Linked DNA regions of Schizosaccharomyces pombe. Changing the gene in region 2 together with the main gene of any one other region gives a genetic interaction. Each region holds a gene or a part of one and is shown on either strand. Other genes may lie near its edges. The genes, in order: dcd1, nse5 and nts1.

Region 1 (5,661 bases), 2.2 Mb from region 2:
CTGATTCTTGTCCAAAAGACTTATCTTCTGAATCACAGTTGGCATTCGTTGAACGTTGTAAATTGATAGTTAATGATGCTCTTATATTGGCTAAAAAGGTAAGTTTATATGGTTTTATTACTTGCTAATAATTCAAAACAGTTCCACTTTGATGTATTCAATGCTGTTACGGTTTTGGATAACAATCTATTCTTGAAGGACCTAAAATTTGGAGAAGGAGACGGTTTTTTGAACTATTACATCTATAATTATAACTGTCCAAAAATTCCTGGAGGAATCGATGCTTCTAAAAGTGTTGATTATTCGAGGCCTAGTGGAATGGGTTTTGTAATGATTTAAATCCTAAAATATTAAAATACATTATTTTTGATTTTTTTGAGTGTTTTTACTATTTTAAAAAAGTCCATATTTTAAAAGGTTTTTTGATATTAAATTTTTACTTATAGAACTTGTCATTTCACAAATATTAGGTTTTTAAATTTATAAAAAATATATAATAACTAGTTTTTATTTTCAAATGAAATTATCCCACTTGGTTTGCATAACATAAAATCCAAAAAATTTTCAATGTTTCATTATCCAAGGTTCTATATTTTTTTCTTGGTTATTTAATCAACATGACAAATGGTTTCATTAGTCCTTCAATCACCGTAAAATGTATTTAAATGGATGTAATACTGAGATTTGCATTTTCAGTTAGTGCATGTTTGTTTTTACCAAAAACCTATTCACCACCAAATTTTCGTCTAGCCTCTTAAATTGGCGTTTCTTGAGAACTATGGCTGATTCTCTAGTAGATATAAATGAAAGAATAACTTCACAAGGAAATCTTGTTCGATCTTTGAAAAGTCAAGGCGCCTCTAAAGAGGACATTGATAAAGAAGTTGCTAAATTACTTCAACTGAAAAACCTCAAACTTGGGGGTTCGGAAGTATCAGGAAAGAAAAAAGACACATCTTTTACACTGAAAACTCCGAAGGGTACTAAAGATTGGTGTGACAAAGATGTTGTTTTACGTGAGCACATTTTTTCAACTGTCACAGAGATATTCAAGCGTCATGGTGGTGTAACACTCGATACGCCAGTGTTCGAATTGAAAGAAATTCTTTCCGGAAAATATGGAGAAGACAGCAAGCTAATTTACGATTTGAAAGATCAAGGTGGAGAGCTTTGTTCTTTGAGATACGACTTGACTGTTCCATTTGCTCGTTGGTTAGCTATGAATCCCAAAGTTACGAGTATTAAGCGATTCCATATTGCAAAGGTTTATCGAAGAGATCAGCCAGCTATGACAAAAGGCCGTATGCGTGAATTTTATCAATGCGATTTTGATATCGCTGGCAACTACGATCCTATGATTCCCGATTCTGAAGCTTTAAAGGTTTTAGTGGAAGCATTAGATGCATTAGAAGTTGGAAATTATACTATCAAGCTTAATCATCGAAAAATTTTGGATGGCATTTTTACTGTTTGTGGTGTACCGGATGACAAAATTCGTACCATTTCCAGTGCTGTGGACAAGCTAGATAAACTCCCTTGGGAAGATGTCAGACGTGAAATGGTGGTTGAAAAAGGACTTAAAGAGGAGGTGGCAGATAAAATTAAGGAGTATGTGTTATTAAAAGGCGACCGCTCTCTTTTAGATAAGCTTGAAGCCGATAGTTTACTATCAAGCAATAGCTCGGCTGTTGCTGCATTTAACGACATGCGTCTTTTATTTGATTATTTGGAAGCTTTTGGAGTGTTAGATAGGTTTTCATTTGATATGTCTCTAGCGCGTGGTCTCGATTATTATACTGGTATCATTTACGAAGCAGTAACAGAGGCTTCTGCTCCAAAGATTAAGAGTTCGGCGGAAAAGAAAAAATCTGCTGATCCTGAAGCAGATCGTTCCAATGATGACTCTATTGGCGTTGGTTCGATTGCTGCTGGTGGACGTTATGACAATTTAGTTGGAATGTTTGCTGCAAAGAAAAACGCCAAAATCCCTTGTGTTGGCATTAGCCTTGGTTTAGAGAGGATTTTTTCAATTCTTAGATCAAAAATTCCTGATGAGGATATCCGTGCAAATGATGTTGATGTTTTCGTTATGGCATTTGGAGGTGGAAAAGAATGGACCGGCTTTTTGAAAGAGCGTATGTCTGTTTGTAAAGACCTTTGGGCAAATGGCATTAAAGCAGAATTTCTTTACAAAGTGAAACCCAAACCACGTCAACAATTTGACGCCGCCGATAAATTCGACGTACCTTTTGCTGTAATTTTGGGTCAAGATGAGTTTGCAAAGGGATCTGTTCGTATTAAACAAATGGGTTTAAAAGAAAATAGCGATGAAGGTCAGCTTGTGCCACGTGAGGAAATGGTATCAGTTTTGAAAAAGTTACTTAAATACGATTAAATATTCCTATAGCTCAATAATAATTATTGTATTATTTGATTGTTATCTCATCAATATTGTAAGTATTAAATAAAGATATTAAAATCGTATTTTCTGCAATCAAAAAGAGCGGTAATCTAAAAAGTAAGTTCTGTTATTAACTTAGAAAATGCTGTTTTCCGGAGGAATATATTGTCGTAATTGAACTCCTGCGGCTTGAAGGAGAGAAGCGGTATGGGAGTCCATGTTGTAAGACGTATGATAGACAACTGAGCATTAGTAAAAGATTAAAGAACTGAAACATACCTTCTTTAATCCCAAGCTGAGTAATCTTGACAGAACACGTAAGACAGGGACATCTTTCGACTGTTAGTAGCTTTATGTCTATATTTACATACGTATCACAGTATAATATTGCATTGTTTCCAACGCGTTCACGGCCAGCCTCTAAAAGAGCGTTTTCTTCGGCATGAAGACAAAGACAGGTATCAAGTTCTTTTCCACAGGAAGAAGCAGAATTGCAACGTGGACATCCGCCTTCATTACAGTTAGTGGCTCCTCTAGGTGTTCCATTGTAGCCTGTCGCAATAACACGATTTCCTCGCACAAGTACGCAACCGACGCGACGTTTCATACAATTGCTACGCTTCGCAGCCAGACTTGCCATTTCCATAAAGTACGAATCCCATGATGGGCGAAATCTATTGGGATTCAAAAGATCGGCTTTTTGAAGCTTCTCCCATAGATGAAGTTTAATATTGCTATCATTATTTATAAGTAAATTAGCCAATGCTCGGTGTCGAGTTCCAGCATTATCAGATTGAAATGCAGCCGCGTCTTGGATACTACAAAATTCTTCAAGTGTGGTATTCGCAAGAGAAGAATAACTATATGTCATCATTATTATTTCACGCAATATTCAGTTAATCATGAGGAGCTTATGTAACCGTGTAATTTCGAGCATGAAATGAATGAAACTAACAAGATATTAAGGTCCTTACACTGAACACATTGCGTGAAGAATAATGACAATGAATTTAAAGTTAGCAACAACATGTTGACATTGCAATATTACATACGTTTTGTAGCGATTGAACCTGAGCATAATTGGGGCATCAATATATACAAGCAAAAAGAACGGACGTTTGAGCAATGCACTTAACAAACGTGGACTATGAATTCCATTAATTACAAATCTTTCGCGCCATCTTGGAGTGAGATAGCTAATAAGATCGTCAACGCTGCCAAGGACTAAATCGCCAGTTCTATATATATATTCTCCATCCTCGTTTAGTTGTGGTAATCGAAAAATAGCATTGAAACCATGCTTTGTCTCAAGGTATTCAACAACGGCATCTTTTCCACTACATAATGGCCCTGTAAGACCAACAGTTGGCATATTTATTTGCTTAATAAATCAAACAAAGCTACTTAAGCTTAAGAAACGTATTTCAGTTTGATTATCTCCCCAAATAGTTAGAGATAGATCGGTTTTAACGTACTCACATACCTAATGATACTAACTATCAATACCAACAACGAGTTGCGAAAATGCTAACTTTCAATTTCGTAAAACTATGCTTCTATAATCTGTAATCTTTTTAAAAAATAAAATATATATTTAATGAGATTAAAAACTATTTGCTTCCAAATCTTCACGAATCCTTGAATATTTCAGATTTTACGTTTCACTGTACTGGACCAAGAATCTAAAAAATCCTTTTAGTGAATTCGAATAAAGTCGTTTTTGGTTTTAAGTGTATTGACCTCTCTTTTGCTGGTCACGCTAAAGTTTAGAGCACTCAAAAGTTGTACTTAAGTGCTGTGTACTTCAACAGCAACAACAATAAGATCATTAACTGTATATTGTTAAGGAGAAACTCGGAACAAACGCATTCAACTAACAATGAAACCATTTTTATCTAATTAATGTTCATCACATCAAATTTGATAATGAGCGCATTTCATGTAAACTCATGTGAAACGATGGAATCTGTCGAATAATATTTTTTATGTGCGAATATTCAGAATTCTTCTAAAAGTCCAGTAATTACATACTAATCGTTCGTAAAATTATGTTTACGGTTAGATTACTATTGCATCGTAGGCCTAGCATTAATTGTCAAGTCAGCAATTCAACAATGATATTTATATGTGGCACATATTCTTTTTCTCAACATCCTATTTAATGATATTGGAAAATTTTTTTGTTTTCGGGAAATTAAAACACTACAGAACTCAACTGGACTGAGGAAGAGGTTGAGTTATGAGCAGCTTCAGTAGTAAGTTAGAAGGTTAACTTCACGTACCAACTTAATTAATAATCGAGCTCACAGCAACATAAGTGATGATTGTTGGTGATTTAACGTATCATTAAAGCTAATTACAGACTACATAATAAGCATTAAGCCATTAACGTGTACTAGGTAATACTCACGACCGTACTGTAGAGCTCGGTAAGATCGTAATTTTGTCAAGTTTCCTGAGGTTTAATAACCCTTTGGTTGCAAATTATTGTTAATCACGATCTTGTAACTCCTATAATTATTGAAGTCAGTTTGCAAAGAATTTAGAATTTAAATCACCAAATAATTTGGGCATGAGATGAGTTTCAATCCTGCAGCTGGACTGCTGGGAAAATTAAAGAAATTATGGAATGATACAAAAAACGATTATTTGGAATGGGAGCGAAGCCAACAAGGTCAAATTAGTGAGTCAGTGGTTAAGAATCACTCACCCTCAAAGCGAAAGCGACGGCCATCGAAGGAGCCTTCCCTATCACCTAAGCGAAGAAAAAATATTTTAAATGATCAAAAAAAAGATGAAGAGTCAATACCTAATGCTGGTACACAATCACAAAATTTTACTCACTTAAGTGCATCTAAAATTCGTATCTCAGATGAGGATCGAATTAAGCCATTGGTAGATTTAAATCAAGATCACTCTTTTGACATGGCATACTTAACACCTGCAAGCGCTCCCCCTCCGCGATTTCGATTTGTACCTCCAAAATCTGACGCGAAATCTCATTCGGCTCCTAGATCGCTAGAAGGTGTTACTAGCTTATCTGATTCTCATTTCAATTCCCTTGAAGCAAACTTAAAAGCGATTTCGAAAGATAGCAACAATAAAGCGCACAATAATCGTTATGATGAGTCTTCGCTTACGAACCCTGAATTTTCCATCCTTGTTGAGCGTTTAAAAAGTATTGAAGAAAATTTACAAAGCCTGCAGGAAAGGATTTCTCATTGTGAGCGTTCAGTTAGTCTTAGCCCATCTTTTGCTCC
Region 2 (7,714 bases):
ACCTCTGCGGGATAATTTGTTTGATTGTTTCTGTCAGGTTGCGCTTGATTTTTATTTGGTTCGCTTCCTCGTTTATTTTAAGGTTTCAATAGTATCTTTTGCAAAAAAATGCAAGGGTAATAACCATGGTTTTGTTTTCAACTTTGAAAATGTGTTGCTGTGTTGTGTTGCGTTTCAAAAGTGTTGTATTATGACTTGAATTAGGAGATTGAATGCGTTTTCTCAATTATTTTGCTTATGACTATGAGTGTTTATTTTCATAAATACGTCTTTCTCATCTCGATATATTGTAAATGTAACAGGTTCGGCTCAATCTCTCATTTCTCTTCTGAGTTGCAAACTATTGCAGTGTGGTTGAAGTTCTTGTTGCTTTGCTCAATATGATGCTATTTTATTATATTTTCTCTGCTTCGTTTAATACCCAACGTACTTATTATTCGTAATTTAATCTCGTAATTACTCCGTGTTGTTTTGTAGGTCCTCCTCGTATTCCTTATTGCTGCTCTTTTCGAAAAAAAAAATATATATATATATTTTCCATAACTAAAATGGGTCTGTGGACGAAAAAATCTATTTTGTTTAACCAAATGACTAAAGTATTTGTTAACCAAAAATTATTATTTTTTTTCCACTACTTCGTATTTAATACAGCCGATCATACAGTAAAGTGCTGATTACACTCGCATGATCGTTGTCTGCTCTCACCACAAGTCATTCACTTATATCAATGTTGTGCCAGCTTTTTACGTTTAAGCTCAAAATTTCCTTTGTATCCATATATTAGGATTATTGAAATTCAATTTATTGTCAATTTATCATGCCGCAACGCTATTATACATGAGTTCCAAGAAAGTCAAATACAATCCTCGAAAAAGCGCATCTCAAAATGAAGCTACCTCAGCTTCAGCAGGTAGCAAAGCTTTTGGATTTAATTCCGCGAAAAAGGAGAAACTTCATAGAATGGCGCTGTCTATGGAAGCAATTGAAGATGTTGAGGATCAATCGTTCAATGGCAAGTCTTCCAATCTAGTCAGAAAGCGTCGGGGTTTGGATGAAGACATTGATGAATTTTCTTCTTCATCAGAGGATGAAAGAAAGCCTGCTCGACATCCTCAAAGCTCCTCTCAAAAACCATTTGCTAGCTCTACATACAACGTAGAGCTTCCAACATCTCCGACTAAAATTACCAATATCGGTCAGTCAAGCCCTAGAGCATTGCGCTACCTGTCTCCAGAATCTCAGAGAATAAAAAACGCCAAGATGAAGTCGCCTATTTCAACACATCTGGCTAAATATTCTATTCATCACATGGGTACTCCACCATCTAAACCGTCATTCTTGAGTTCTAGCGTGTCTTCCCCTGCATCTAGTAAACAAAAATCACTTTTCCAGTGCACAAAAGATCTCGAGAAGAGATATATCAATCGTGTTCATCGTTCATCTGAAACTGAGCTTGTGCAACTTTCTTCCATTAAAGTTCTCGATCGATTTCTCTCTGACATATATCTAGTTGAAGCTGAAAAAAATGAGGAAAAATGCACAGTTTTACTTCTAAAACGTTCTAATACTGATGTAGACAATAGTAGCTCTCTATCTCTTACTTTACCTTTGTGTAAATTTACCAAAAATGGGCATCAAGTACACATACATCCTTGCTGATTCATATATAATGCTTTTTGCTATATTTACACAAAGCGTAAAGTTCATTGTGATATATTTATTTGTCATATATATATATTTTTTACAAGTATCTTAATCTACGACATTTATGAAAGGTGGTTTTCTGTTTAATCTAATTAATTTTTCAACCTGAGGTTCCTGCGTACCTTTTAGCAACCCATTTAAACGGTTTAGCATGTCAACAGTAGCATGGCTTAATTACTATTAATTACTTAAATTGTTTATAAATTAGGCTTTAAAAAGATTGAGAAAGGACATCTATGGTTACCCTTTCCTGTACACTAGAAGACCTTCTTAATCCATTTACCTTCATACGTATTCATCACCAACCAACCGCTCCTTTCATAAAACTTTTGAATGAGCACAATAGAAGCAATATATCTTGTAGACACTAATGGGTATGCGTTAGCTGTTTATTTACTTTATTAATCAAGTTGACTAGGGCGTTACTACTCCAGTTGGAGTCTCGAGGAAGGACATCTCCCATAACGTTAGAACATATAAAAAACGAACTTTTTCGCTACAAACTTCGAAATGAGGAGCCTCCATTTATATTACATAACAAAAATTTTTTGATATTTCAAGAGTTAGAGGAAGATGTGCGTTTGTGTATTCCTACAACTTGCGACACTGAGCCTCTCTACATTCATGATATTATGAGACGCATTGTGGATGTAGTTAAAACATTTTTTGGTGGGTTTAATGCTTCAAAGGTCGAGAAAAATGTTTGCGTTATTGTCCAGCTATTAGCTGAAATGATTGATTATGGATATGCAACTTGTATGGAACCAAATGCATTGCAGGACATTGTACCACTCCCTAGCTTTATGAATAAGTTTATGGCAGTTACTGGTCTACAAACGTATGTTATTTAGTTTTCTGTTTTTGCAGTGCTAACCGCATGATTTAGAAATACACCGACTCTTGCAAGAGATACCGTTCCTTGGAGAACAGCTAAAGCAAAATATGCAACCAATGAATTTTTTATTCATGTACTTGAACGCGTATCAGCCGTTTACCAGCCTAACGGAAAACTTGCTTTTGGCACAGTTAAAAGTGATATGGAATGCAAATGTCAAATATCTGGTATGCCTTTACTTTTGCTGAGTTTGAGACCCGGCACAAAACTAGGGAATGTTCGGTTCCACCAGTCAGTCAATTTAAAAAGATGGAAACAACATCCGGATCAGATTGAATTCATTCCACCGGACGGAAAATTTACATTAGCTTCTTTTCAAACAGACTTTGCTACCCAGAAATCTTTGCCTGTTGTTGTTGAAGCAAAAAATAAGTTGGATGGAAGGTTCGAAGTACGTATTCGAAACACCGGGAAAAAATCCGTTGAAAATTTAAAAATCCTAATAACTATTCCTCAAGCTCTAAAGAGCGTTACGGTTACCGAGGGAAATTATATTTTTCGTGCTTCCAAGTATACTCATATGGAAGAAGGTATTCTGGAGTGGTCGGTAAAAAAATTAGCTTGGACATCCCCGGCCTTAGTGTTGACAGGATTCCTGGCCCCCTTAAAGAAAGATGCCAATTCAACCGAAGAGTCAAGTAGCTACTCTAAGCTTGAGCACCTTGATTTACAATATAAACTTCAAGGATCAACCCTTCATAATTTTAAAGTAGAGTCATTGAAGATGCTTAATCATCCAGATAAAAAATCTTATAAAGGGGTCAAGCATACAATTATTGCACAAAATGTTTCATTTCGTTTTCGGTAATAATTAATTTACTTTCTATCTACCCGTTTGTTTATTATATATTATTCATATAAATTTCATTTTCTTAGTTATCACTAATGATTATAATAATTATTTTCCACACAAAGCCTCATTCATTGAAACGATACATATAGTCTATATATATTAGGATACACAATTAATGCCAAATGACTTCTGTTAATTTGTAGTTAAATTATTAAGTTAAACGATTTTATCCAAGGACAATTTTTTTGAAATATCTAATAATACAAGCATGTCTTTGAGTATTGCCATTGGTCTATCAATACCAACTAATTCTGTTTGTTGATACATTGTGTATAACTGCTTCAACGTTGTGTAAAATAGCTCTTTATCAAAGTTGCGATCACTTTCACGAAGGGCCGAACCCAAAAATGAGACCCATGCTCGTAGATGTAGCTTCTGTCTGATTTTGTTTTTCGGAAGGGAAGTGGGTAAAAGTTGAGTTAGCTGTTTAGTAAACTCACAACGTGTATGGCGTATGTTAATTCCAATACCTATTCCTTTCATAAGTATATATTGGCTCAGGCAATACCGGAGATTGGAGGCGCCTAAGTTTCCAAAGAAAAGATCTTGTTGTTTCGCATTCAGTTTTGAAAAACGTTCGTCGAGTTTGCTAAGAAAATGAAAAGCGTCTGTCAGATGTACAACAAAAAATCTTCCCTTCGGAAGCATAGCCCATATAAGGCATAAGAGTTTGGCACCTAGGTTTGCTAGTCTTGATGTTCCTTCAAAACTATTTGAACCTCGACTTTCTGTTTTAGCAGGTGCTTTGGACATACTTGTTGCAAAAGGTGATTCCATTGTTTGCTGGGGAAGAGTGAAACAGGAGAAGCAAATTCTGATGGCATCTTGAAGTTCACACAAATCTTCTCCCATGTATTTTTTCATCAACGCAGATCCGTTTTCCTCAGCATCGATCTCTAATATCCTTAACCATATGTCCATCAAGGACATCCAACGTTCAAGGTCAGGAGGACGAGAAGACATGTATGCAATTAGATCCCAATAATCAACATCTTGGGTAAATAAGCATTGGTTGGAGAAAATCTTCAGATAATTTTCTTTAGGCATATCGTTGTCCGATAGATCATTTTCAAATGACCATGCGTCAAAGTTGATTTTGCTTCTGTTCTCAACCACCTGCTGTAATATCCAATTACAGCTTTCTTGAATATTAGAAGAGGTAGGATATTCTGGGTGGACTAGAAGAGTTATGCACATTCGTATATAACAAGCTGGAATTGGTATAGAGGTCGTCGATAGAAGATATTCTAAAACATCTAATGATTTTGGCAACAAGTCTTCTTCAATACAAAGCTCTATTATTGCCTTTAGAGCCGAGTTCATTTTGAAATGGCGTAAGCAATCTTTGCTACTTTATATGTAAAAGAAGCCAGATATGGAAGAGATATCTTATTTCTTAAAACGATTTTCTTTGTAAAAGAGCATTTAACATGTGCCCTATTTACAGTCTTGTGATTATTATTGAATGGTTTGATTCACGAATTTTATATTGTAACAAAATGCAGAATTCTCAGTTTGAAGTTTTTACGCGACAGAAGAAATATATTCAAAAAGAGGGAAAGAGGAGGACCCCAAATGAGCAGTATTTTAAAAGGAAGCTTTCAACGATAAGGTTTGTAACCAAGGAAGACAACATCTGCAAAAATTATTTCGTAAAAAAAAAATTAAAAAAAAAATCACTTTTCAAATTATAAAAACATTATTCTTTTAATGTACTAGCAGATAGTACCTTTGAAAGCTAGTAGATAAAAGTTTCGCTGCTGTTATGAAATTGGTGGAGAGTCCTTGGAACCGTTATTAGTCAGGTATCTAGCTAATCTGATCCTGTCCTCCACCAAGATGGCCGACTTTCAGGATGAATTGTTGGCATTAGCTGGTATTGATGACTCAGATGTTGCTTCAAACCGTAAAAGGGCTCATGATGATTTGTAAGAAAGCAAATTTATCGGATTGACCTTGCTAACAAAACATATTTTAGAGATGATGTGTTGAGCAGCAGTTCAGACGAAGACAATAATGAAAATGTTGGACAGGATTATGCGGAAGAGTCTGGAGGAGAAGGAAATGAGAAGTCGGAAGACGAATTTGAAGAAAAATTCAAAAACCCGTATCGTCTAGAGGGCAAGTTTAAAGATGAAGCAGACAGAGCAAAGTACGTTGATTTTTACATTTTTCATAAAGTTGTCTAACCAAATAAAGGATAATGGCAATGACGGAAATTGAGAGAGAGAGTATTCTCTTCGAACGTGAAGAAGAAATTTCAAAGTTGATGGAAAGGCGTGAATTGGCAATTCGCCTCCATCAGCAAAATGCTCAGTATATGGCGCAATCTACTAGAAGGTCTACTCGTGACAAGCCTTTAACTTCAGCAGCCGCTGGCAAACGTGATAAGCTTACTGAGCTGAAAAAGCGCCGCCAGGAACGTTCAGCTAGAAGCGTCTCTGAAAGAACTAGAAAAAGGAGCCCTGTTTCCGATTATGAAGAACAGAATGAGTCGGAGAAGAGCGAAGAAGAGGAAGGTTACTCTCCCAGCTATGCTGAGGAAAAAGTTGAACAAGTTTCAAAAGATAATGCATCCGCCAATTTGTACGATTTAAATGCAATTCGTCTTGGGCGTAAACATGTCGCGGAGTACATGTATCATCCTATCTTTGAGTCCACCGTCACTGGATGCTTTGTTCGGGTTAAAATTGGTGAGCGTGATGGACAAGGTGTATATCGCTTATGTCAAGTCAAGGGTATTTTAGAAAGCAGAAAGCCGTATCGTGTTGATGGTGTTTTAACTAAAGTTTCACTGGAATGTTTTCATGGTCGCTCGAAAAGAGTGTTCGATGTCAACGTCTTATCAAATGAGCCTTTTTCCGACCATGATTTCCAACGATGGCATCACCAAATGATGGAAGATAAGCTTTCCATGCCCTCTAAAAATTTTGTACAACGAAAGCTGAATGACCTCAGGGATATGAGTAAATACGTTTTAAGCGAAAAGGAGGTTTCTGATATTATTAACAGGAAGAAAGAGTTATCGCGTGTTCCTTCGAACATCGCTGCTGAAAAGACCCGTCTTCGTCAAAGGAGACAAGCTGCTTATGTTGCTGGTAATGCAGAATTGGTCAAGGAGATTGACGATCAATTAAACACTTTGGAAGAACTTTCCATGGGATCTAACCAAAATAGTAATTCTGCCATGGATCAACTTGCCAAAGTGAATGAACGTAATCGACGCCGCAACCATACCGAAATTCGCCTGGCAGAGCAGCGTATGAATGAAGAACGAAGACGCCTCTCAGCAGCGGCTACTGCCACACCAATGTCTGCACCTACTTCCGTACTGACGGGAACAAGTCCTCAACCTTCACCTTCCCTTTCTACCTCCATTATGTCTACCCCAAAGCTGAACCCCAGTGAATCAGTCGTCGTTGCCTCTGAAAAGGCATCATCTCCTGACCTGAGTCCTAAGCTATTACCTTCTGAATCCCAAATTTTTGACGAAGGCATTGCAGTGACTCAAACCCCGAACACGTTGGAGGACAAAGATTTCAAACTTCACGAAAAAGCTGTTCACGGAATTGATGATATTATTGCTACTGTGGATTTTGGCATTGATATCAACATTTAATTCTCAGTATTCTCGCGTTTTATTTATTATTATCCTAGTTTGCAAAAATCATCCAGGATTATATAAACCTGTCAGCTTTTTTCTTGTTTGTTTAGCTTTTGAAAATCCCTCCTACATAAAATTTACTGTTTCCGTTACTTTGGTTTAGAGTAGTGGAATATTAATTCAGAGGAAAGATTCTAATGCAGCCGTATTGCCTTCCTCTTGATGTTGACAATGATTTTGAATGAAGTTTCGTTTTTATAATTATTTTTTTGCTTTTTTTCTTATTAGATCTTTATCTTCCTTTTGTTTTTGGTTTTTTCACACCTTAATTTTTGGTTTAAAATTGTAGTTGAGAAACCATTCTCACATTTTTTTGTCATTTTTCTAGTTTTAAATTTTATGAAACTTTTAAATATGAAACCGGTACTATTAAATAAATTACTCCCTTGGACTAGGGTTGTTTTTTGAAATGTCTAAATTATGGAGGATATCAAACTCAGTTGACAGTAAAACTATGTTTAATTCTCGAGCTCATTGCTAATTTTTTTTTAAAAAAAAAAATAAAAATTAAGAGCAATTATTACTGATTAAACAATTTTTGCCATTTTACTAATAATTCTTCATTTGCTAAGGAATTTATAAAACAACAGCAATTCAG
Region 3 (8,649 bases), on a different chromosome or scaffold from region 2:
AATAATAAGTTAAATACAAAATAAACGAAGTTTTGGAGAATTACTAGTTATACTCTGAAGACAAGAATGATTTAATAATTTCCACAGAAATAAGGAAAGATACCGTATTACGTTTTTTTTATAAAGACATCGTATTTTTTCTTAAGCAAATTTAACGTAGCGTCGCCTAATTTCACAGTTGTGCTTTGTTTATGCACGGTTGCCCTCCAACTAGTGCTTTGTACGTTTCCTCTACCATAGACCTCATTCTTGCTGCTTCAAAGAGCAAAGAGCTTTACTTTGCAAAATGGCGTTTTTTAACGTATTTAAAGCCGTGTTATGTGCTTATTTTATATCTGTTGTTTTCGGTCATGGCATTACATTGAAACCGCATCAACGAGGTATGTAATTTCAGTGTATTTGTGTTGAGATTCATGGAGTATACAATGCTAATGAAGCAAACTTAGAATGTTTCTATGAAAATTTGAGGAATAATGATCAAATGTCTGTCACTTATCAAACAAACGTTGGTGGTGATCAGCTTGTTTCTATGAGTATCTACAATCCTGCGGGTCAAATTATGCATCAAGAGGTTCCCAACTCTATGGCCCAATATTCTTTCACCGTTAAGAACCCAGGGAAATACATGTATTGTTTCTATAATGTATGTGTTATCTTTTTGTTTTCTGGCATCAAAGCCTGGCATTATGGTCGTCATTTCCCATGTCGTCTAATTGTTTGATGGTTGAGCCGGAAACAGCTAGATGTACAATCTTAACTAACAACATCAATAGGATGCACTCGATGGTGAATCAAAGGAGGTTTTATTCAATGTGCATGGTGTTATATATATCTCTGATGAAGATTTGGATGCTAACAATCCTTTACTCGGCAAGGTCCGCCAACTCCATGATACCATCTCCAAGGTAAAACATGAGCAGGAGTATTTTGTGGCTCGTGAAAGAATACATCGCAATACTGCTGAAAGCACAAATGACCGCGTCAAGTGGTGGAGTATTCTTCAAACCGTTATTCTAGTTTCCGTATGTGTATTCCAAATTTTCTACTTAAAGCGACTTTTCGAAGTAAAGCGTGTTGTATAGTTTATCCGCATAACGTTACTTATTGTTCGCAATAAGTTTTCCGTGCGACTGGACGACGGTCGTAATTTCAAGATTCTGCTTGAGCAGCAAAAAGTATTATAATTGGTCTCTATTTGAAGCTGGCCATCACCGACGACTAAATTTTTTTTAAAAAATTTTATTTCCTGTCGGTTGCTGGCGTTTTCCCTTTCAATCTGAATCTTTAATCTGTCTTTTACTTGTGCAGGTTAATGTTTTCTTTTATGATCTCGCCTGTTCTTTAAAAAAAAAGATTCGTTATGTTTGAAGCAATCATTTAGCAAACGTACGTGTTTTTTAATGAATTTTAAAGTCTTAATTTCTTAAATCATTCTGCACTGTGGGAAACACTGCACTTTAACTTTCACATTTTATGGCATTCCGATCTTTCTAAAGGTACACTTTTTTTATAGACGGTAACATTAACAGTATAACAATTCCCTCATTATACATTTGCTTATAAAACGAATTATTTAGTCTGTAATGCCACTTGTATGTATTACTTATTGCTGTATTCATGGCGATGTTTGTTACCTCCTTCTAATGTTACCTTCAAAGTATCTATGAAAATTCATTTACTACACCAAACTATAACCATTACCATTTATCGTAACTCAATGGCACAAGGAGAATTTAAAAAGAAGAAAAATAGTAGTGCCAACAAGGGCGGACGTGTTACAAAACACTCCAAGAATCCTAAAAAAGGCGGTATGTCAGCTGCAACTGTCAAATATTCGGTGATCTTTGTATGCTAGGGAATTTGGTTTAGGGATGTTTCTTTTAATATTTTAAGCTCATTGAAGTTGTTGGACAACCTTTGTGGTGCTATAAACTCTTCATCTTTTCGTAACTTTAGATACTCATTATAGTAAAATTTTTCATTAAATTTTTTGATACACGTTTCAATCATTTTACTCTTAAGCATACAAGATATCATATTATATGGTTTATCATTCATCATTAATACTCATTACTAACCTTGACTTTTAGCTCGTTATTGTGCCCCTAGAAGAGCAGCTGCTATCAAAGACCATACAATTAATGCGGTATGTTTTAAAATTTACTTTTATATATGTTCTTTTTGCTAATATCTTTAAAGAACATTACAAAAACATTAAATGTTCGCAATGAGAAACTAATTGCCGGAATTGCGTCTCAACAAGTGGGCAAGTTGACAATTACTAAGGCATTAGGTGAAGCTGGTGCCAAGGAGTTAAAGGAGGGAAAGCATTGAGTCGTTTGGTATTTCTTTTTGTGTAACTGTTTTGTTCCTTTTCAAAAGGAGGTAAATGGCTACACTTGATCATACTGCATTTATCGAATTGTAGCATTGGTTTTGGAATTTTATTACTATTATGGTTAAGTATACAGGGAATTCGGTTCATTTTTGATTATTATTTATAAATTAATTTTGTTGGGAAATGAGTAAACGTTATATACAAATATTGTTGTTTGATAATTTTCTTTAAATAATTAGACTCAGTAGTGTTCCAAATAAAAAGCTCGTAATTCTAAGATTAATAATTATGTTCCACAAAAAAAATGCTTTTAAACATTCTTAAGTCCTCGTTCGTTTGTTTCGCGATAAGTTTACAGAAGTAGTTTTCGTTTTGGAGTTCTGTCCTCGCCCAGAATTTGACTCTGCATTTGAAATGGCTTTATTTAAAATTCTCCACTCCTGCTGCCATGTGTCGAGTAATGTTCTAATTCTTTTAATCTTTACTCGTTTTTCTGGAGTATCTTCCGGTGGGTGTTCTCTTTTAAGAAAATCAATCAGCTCTGAAAGCTCTTTCTCTGAATCGGAAGATTCCAATTCTATTCTCTCTTCCGCTTCAACTTTCCCGTCACCGTTAACTTCTAAATCAACTTCTTCTTTAATGCTTTCTTTTTCCGAAGTAGCCGTTGTTCCTTCTACCGGTTTGTGATGGCCACGTAGCATTTCTTCTGTTGCCGCAGTCGCTTTTTCAACATTTTTTCTGCTTTTGTTCTCTTGAATGTCATTAAGTTCTTTCAGCACTTCAGTTGTGTTTGTTGTAGTGCTTTCGGGAACCGGTGATGATTTGGTCGAAGTAGTGGTACTTGTTAAGTAAGAGATTCTAGGTACGATATTTTCTTCAGGGATTTGATCACGTTGAGGGCGTATGTCATAATTGATTTTCTCAACAACGGCTGCAATCTGTTGTTTCAGAATACTCGAAGATTTAACCTCTGATGAAAACCTTTCCATTCGAGGGTTAATAGGCTTTGATACGTTCTCGACATTATCAGCGCTTTCCAAAGCTAAATTAGGAAAAGACATTGGCGTCCCTTGTGTTGATCTCAATGTTGACGAAGTAAATATATCTGAAACGACCAACACTCTTTGGGCCTTCAAAAAAGCCAAAAGAACTGAAGGATTGGACCATAATTCATAAGCATTTCGAAATGATGGATCATAAAATATTTGACTTCCATACTGAATACAGAGATTAGCCACAGCTTTCCGATCACAGGTATGCTGTGATACACGGATTAACCAAGTAGGGTCAACGGCTAGTAAAGTAGCATGCGTGGTATTTGTTTCAACGTCGGTTTCCAAAGAGTCTAAACATTGTATGACAATTTGATTTAAGAAGTTTTTTTCCTCAACGGGAGTGGCCGTTTTTTTCTGTGCTTCAGTGAGAGTAGCATAGGAGTTAAAGTCCTGCACTTTTGAGGTTGAAATGCTAGCGACTGCAGAGTCTCGAACAGGGACGAACGCTGAGTTGGGAGTTAGCCGACAAATGTTTTCTTCTTTGTTGGCAAACCGCAAACTGCGGTATTGTCGGATTAGTACGGGACGCGCATAGGTTTTTCGACTACTAAGATCCTCTGCATCTATTGGAAGTCTTTCATAAGGAACTGCATTAACGGTTAGAAATTTTAATAAAAAAGAAATAAAACATCAAAAAAGAAATCGATTTTTCAAGTGACATTGTAGTAGATTTGAATTTTCAGTCATCATAATTTTTTTATACAATCATTTGCTTTACAGAAAACTGTACGGTTAAATCTCCCAAACATTTTTCCTAGGGAAATAAAAACCCAAGGGCTAAATGTTGAAATCAACCATTCAATTTCGAACAGAAACAACAAAAAATATAATTAACGACCAACGCCACAGTCTCATCCAACCACTCATGCCAAGTCATGAATAGAGTAAAATTTTATATGTTTCTTTGAGAAAATTGAATTGATATAACCTTAGAGTTATAGGCGTGCAAAATGTTTGATAAAAGATCATCAAAATTGCTATCAAGCATACGACGATCAATTGAAAATTCACAATTTTAGAAAAAGCGATAAAAATAAACTTGATTATATCTAATATTCATTCTTACCTAGAGTTAAAAGGCAGTTGTACAAACGACCTCGATCGTCATATTCAAAAATGTTGCGAACGAATGTATCAAGTTCCTCGGTCTGTAGAGGATGGAATGCACTCTGCAAAAATGAAAAGAACTCATCAATATCCGGTTTTTTTTGACACGATTTCACCATTACTCTGTGAGTTTTGAGTCATATATATTAAGTAGATCAATGTTGTCTTCAGTTATTAAGAAACAAATAGCGAGGGTATTGAAAGGAAATATATACCAAAAAAACAAATATTTTAATGAATTCAGTTAATCATGTGTCAATAAATTGTGAATTTAATCTCTATATTATTAACAAATTGATTCAAGTGCTCCGTCGACTGATTCACTGTCTGCAATACTGTTTGGTAGTTTGCAAGTTTCAACGGTAGTCGATTACTAGAACGTAAACATATACTTTACACAATCACTACATGTTAAAACACTTGAAAACAAAAATTCCAATAAGCTTTAATTTCTATTAAAATTTACATCTCTATTGTTTTGACACCAAAAGCGCTAAGGTGAAAGTATACGATAAAATGTAAGTACGGTACAAAAAATACAAAGCAATTCCTCCCGGCACTTTGAGAAGGAATTCATCCTGACGAGAGTCAGAACAAAAAAAGAGAGAGGATCGTGCTTTATTACCAGACGTTCTGATAATCATTACTGAGACATATCAGTGATGCAATCCTTAGTGCTGCAATAATAATTAAAGAATATTTCAAGGAACTAAAGGAATCTTTCTAACTTTGATTATATAAAATAATTTTAATATTCTAGTGATGAAAAGATTATTCCTCGTTCGTTTTTTGGTTTACTATTTCATTTATCACGAATAGTGCTACAACTAATATGTAAACTTTTACGTTTAATACTGATGAATCATGTGAGATGTCGATTGAAATCTTTAAAAGATATTCTTACGTATAACTAACTCTCAACTTCTTTTATAGCCACGGTTGTAATATTTCTATTACATAGGATTCATCTGCATTAGGACAGTTAATTTCAAACAAATGGATACTTCTGTAGTTTTCTGAAATGTCTTCTCGAATTTTTTACCTCTCATTTAAATGAATTATAAGAAGCTAAAGAACAATATAAATTTTTTGTGTAATTGGCAATACTACATTACAGTTAAGCCCCAAGAAGCGAGTAGAGGCACATAGTAGGGGAACTAAAGGCTCCGAAGGCCTTTACTTCAATCTTTAGGTTCATAAAATATATAACTTAAAATAACATGTCTTTTTAAATGGTAATTTATTGAATAAAACCTATTTTCAATTAACAGTGGGAGATGGGAAATTTAGTGTTTAAACATTGATTAACAATGAACTATACGAGGTAACGCAGAATATGTGTTACCCATTCAGCAAATCTTAATTGTTCATGAATCGTGGATAAGCAAGGAATATACGATCCATACATTTTTAAATACGAAGAGAATGTTAGAGAATTTCATCGATGGAAGGTCATTTTACTACTGAGAGGTAACGGTAGAATACTGCTTTTGCATTTTCCAACTTGACAGGGTTCATTCGTCAAAATCGAATATAAAGCGAAATTACAATAATAGCAAGATAGCCGTGGCATACAATTAGGTGTTATTTTATCAATTGGTGAATCTTAATACCAAATAAGAATAATGTGTATTCTGAAAGAGAGGTGCAGGAAAATGCGTATAAAGCAAGAGGAAACAGCAAAAAAAAATTATATTAATTTTGAACAACATCATTTCATCTCAAGATAAATTTGTTCCATTAGTCAATTTTTAAACATCATCAGTTTTGATAGCCCTACGGTCGGCGAATTTGCAACTTTGCATATGACACTTAAATTTAATATTTGGGATAAAAGTAAATATGGCTTGACCTCAAAAGAATGCATTTGAAAATTAACAAAATTGTATGTTTTCGGGGGGTTTTTTTTTTTTTTTTTTTTTTTTTTAAATGATCAGTGAATTTTATAAGGTATCCGATATGATTTTAACCCAGATTCAAAAACAGGAATATTATTTTATTACATTAAATTTTTGAAGCATCAAAGTCGGATATGTTTATTTTTAAACGAAATTGCTTAACAAAAGAAAATATTAAAAAAATAAAGTCTGATCATTAACAAGCTATATGATGTTTACAAAATCTACCAAAAAAAAACACATATATAAATAAAAGAGGAAGAATGAAAATTACATTTCTCGCAGTAAAAATAAAACACTAAAAGAGCTAGTGCGTACAAAACACTCCATAAATATAAAATAAATGAACATACAACAGAAAAACCATGAAATTTTCTTACACCCTTGATATCCTTTCCTACCTACTAAAGTAGATTAACAGTGTAGAAAGAAAGGAGCGATATATAAAGCAAAACGCTATATTTACTTTACGAAGCACCTTTCAAAACGTTACAGTAGCTGTACATTCTGTCAGGTTCCTTTATAAAGTCAGTTGCAAATTGAAATATAACGTAGCCTGTCATTAAGTTGCTTATATGAAATAGAAAAAAAACCTTCACTATCGATATATAGTTAGACAACGCAAGTTAGCACCAGTTGGTAAATTTGTAGCAATAAAAATGTGAATCCGCTACATTGTTTGTATGTTTATTATCGAAATGTATTGCCAATTCTTTAGTTATAGTAGCTTTATCTAGTAGCAAATGGAGGAATGATACCTGATAGAATTCAGCAGCCTTTTACTTTAAAACTGCTGTCCCAAACTCAGACTAGAGATACCAGCTACGACTTTAGGGCTTAATTTGGGCAAAAGAGCATAATGTCATTCATAAAGCATATTGATTGATTAAATAATAACGTATTATTGTTTAGTGACTATAGTTTAAGAACTGTGCGACGATGCATTTGCAGATCTTTCTGACTTGATACATTATGCGTGAGCGCAACTGTTTTACACCTCCAACCAAGTAGGCTAGGCAAGACGACTGACCTTGATATAAAGAATTATTGTTGAAAAAAATCATCACCTTGAATCTTTTTGAGTCATTTTATGCTAAAACATGTCGGCTGCTGGTGGGATAGTTTACGTTATTGTGGGTGGAAACCGTGGCATTGGACTTTCTCTAGTCAAAGAGTTAAGCAATAAGGAAGGAGTAACTGTTTTTGCAAGTGCTCGTGGACCTGGATCTGCCTCTGAACTGAAAGATTGGAGCAAGACCCATTCCAATGTACATATCATCAAGTTAGATGTCACTTCTCTACGAAGTGCCAAAGACGCTGCCATGCAGGTTGAAAAGGTAGTAAAATGTATTGATGTTCTTTGGGTGAATTCGGGGATATCGAAATCCTTCCAACCTGTTTTGAAAACATCAGACGAGCTTTGGATGTCTCATTATCAAACCAATGTGTTAGGTCCTATTCATGTTTACCAAGCTTTTTATCACTTGTTAAAGGAGGGAAAGCTAAAGAATATTGTTTTTACTTCATCAATGGCTGCGTGCATGGGAGGAGTTCGTCCAAACACATACTCGGCTTACGGGCAATCTAAAGCAGCCTTAAATTATACGATGAAAGAAATTAGTTTTGAGTTAGAGAAAGATGGATTCGTTGTAGTTTCTATTCACCCTGGAGTAGTTAACACTGACATGTTTGTTAATGCTATGCAAAAATTAGCCAGCAAATATCCTGAGATGGTAGAATCCATCAAGAGCAATGCCATCTCACCAGAGCAAAGTGCTTCATCTATGCTTAAAATTGTGGATAATTTAAAAACAGAGGATAATGGAATGTTTTATAACCTTGATGGCACAAAACTTCCATTTTAATGGAAGTTCGCCTGTCAATGGTTTACGCAACAAGACACAAAGCAGTGCCAACTTGAATCAATTATCTATAAATTATGAATTGAATACTCTGGTAAGATTTCACTTAATTACTTTACGAAATACTTAAAAAAAAGCTTGAGAATGCACCTTTCAGGCTTATTTGAATTAAAAACATACGAAATAGCGCAGCCAGGTTTAAATTTTGATATCTGTGTTTAATGCTCTCGACAAAGCCTCCTAATCATTTTAAGGACGCTGTAAGCCACGCTGAATGCTTCTCTGCGAGCTGTTCATTCATTATGTGAGTAATAGGGAAACGTGATAGATTAGTATTTACAACTATGCTTGTAAAATAATTTACCACAAAGTTGGGACTTGTCATGGGA

The links.
Region 1: mutations in nse5 (region 2) and dcd1 impair growth when combined (synthetic growth defect), as found in Schizosaccharomyces pombe (one study listed by BioGRID).
Region 3: of nse5 (region 2) and nts1, extra expression of one rescues a mutant of the other (dosage rescue), as found in Schizosaccharomyces pombe (one study listed by BioGRID).

The regions. Positions count from the first base shown.
Region 1 is NC_003423.3:3,456,462-3,462,122, forward strand, and holds dcd1 (deoxycytidylate deaminase), read right to left. Parts: upstream 3,859-5,661; 5' UTR 3,774-3,858; coding exon 3,454-3,773; exon of another isoform or gene 3,306-3,453; intron 3,262-3,305; coding exon 2,773-3,261; intron 2,734-2,772; coding exon 2,681-2,733; intron 2,644-2,680; coding exon 2,537-2,643; 3' UTR 2,396-2,536; coding exon of another isoform or gene 704-2,395; 3' UTR 501-703; downstream 1-500. Other genes in the region: myr1 (N-myristoyltransferase 1), read left to right, coding at 1-98, 142-339; histidine--tRNA (His) ligase Hrs1, read left to right, coding at 704-2,395; protein Csi1, read left to right, coding at 4,979-5,661.
Region 2 is NC_003423.3:1,254,964-1,262,677, reverse strand, and holds nse5 (Smc5-6 complex non-SMC subunit Nse5), read right to left. Parts: upstream 4,776-7,714; coding exon 3,609-4,775; 3' UTR 3,486-3,608; downstream 1-3,485. Other genes in the region: protein dbl7, read left to right, coding at 838-1,659; AP-3 adaptor complex subunit Apm3, read left to right, coding at 2,038-2,078, 2,123-2,542, 2,591-3,407; prf1 (RNA polymerase II-associated Paf1 complex protein), read left to right, coding at 5,292-5,380, 5,431-5,604, 5,652-7,071. UniProt on the Schizosaccharomyces pombe protein: Acts in a DNA repair pathway for removal of UV-induced DNA damage that is distinct from classical nucleotide excision repair and in repair of ionizing radiation damage.
Region 3 is NC_003421.2:930,305-938,953, forward strand, and holds nts1 (protein Nts1), read right to left. Parts: upstream 4,852-8,649; 5' UTR 4,620-4,851; coding exon 4,460-4,619; exon of another isoform or gene 4,391-4,459; intron 3,981-4,390; coding exon 2,659-3,980; 3' UTR 2,433-2,658; downstream 1-2,432. Other genes in the region: COPII-coated vesicle-associated protein Emp24, read left to right, coding at 287-380, 447-643, 774-1,082; SPOM_SPCC24B10.18 (uncharacterized protein), read left to right, coding at 1,718-1,808, 2,091-2,146, 2,200-2,334; SPOM_SPCC24B10.20 (dehydrogenase), read left to right, coding at 7,499-8,263.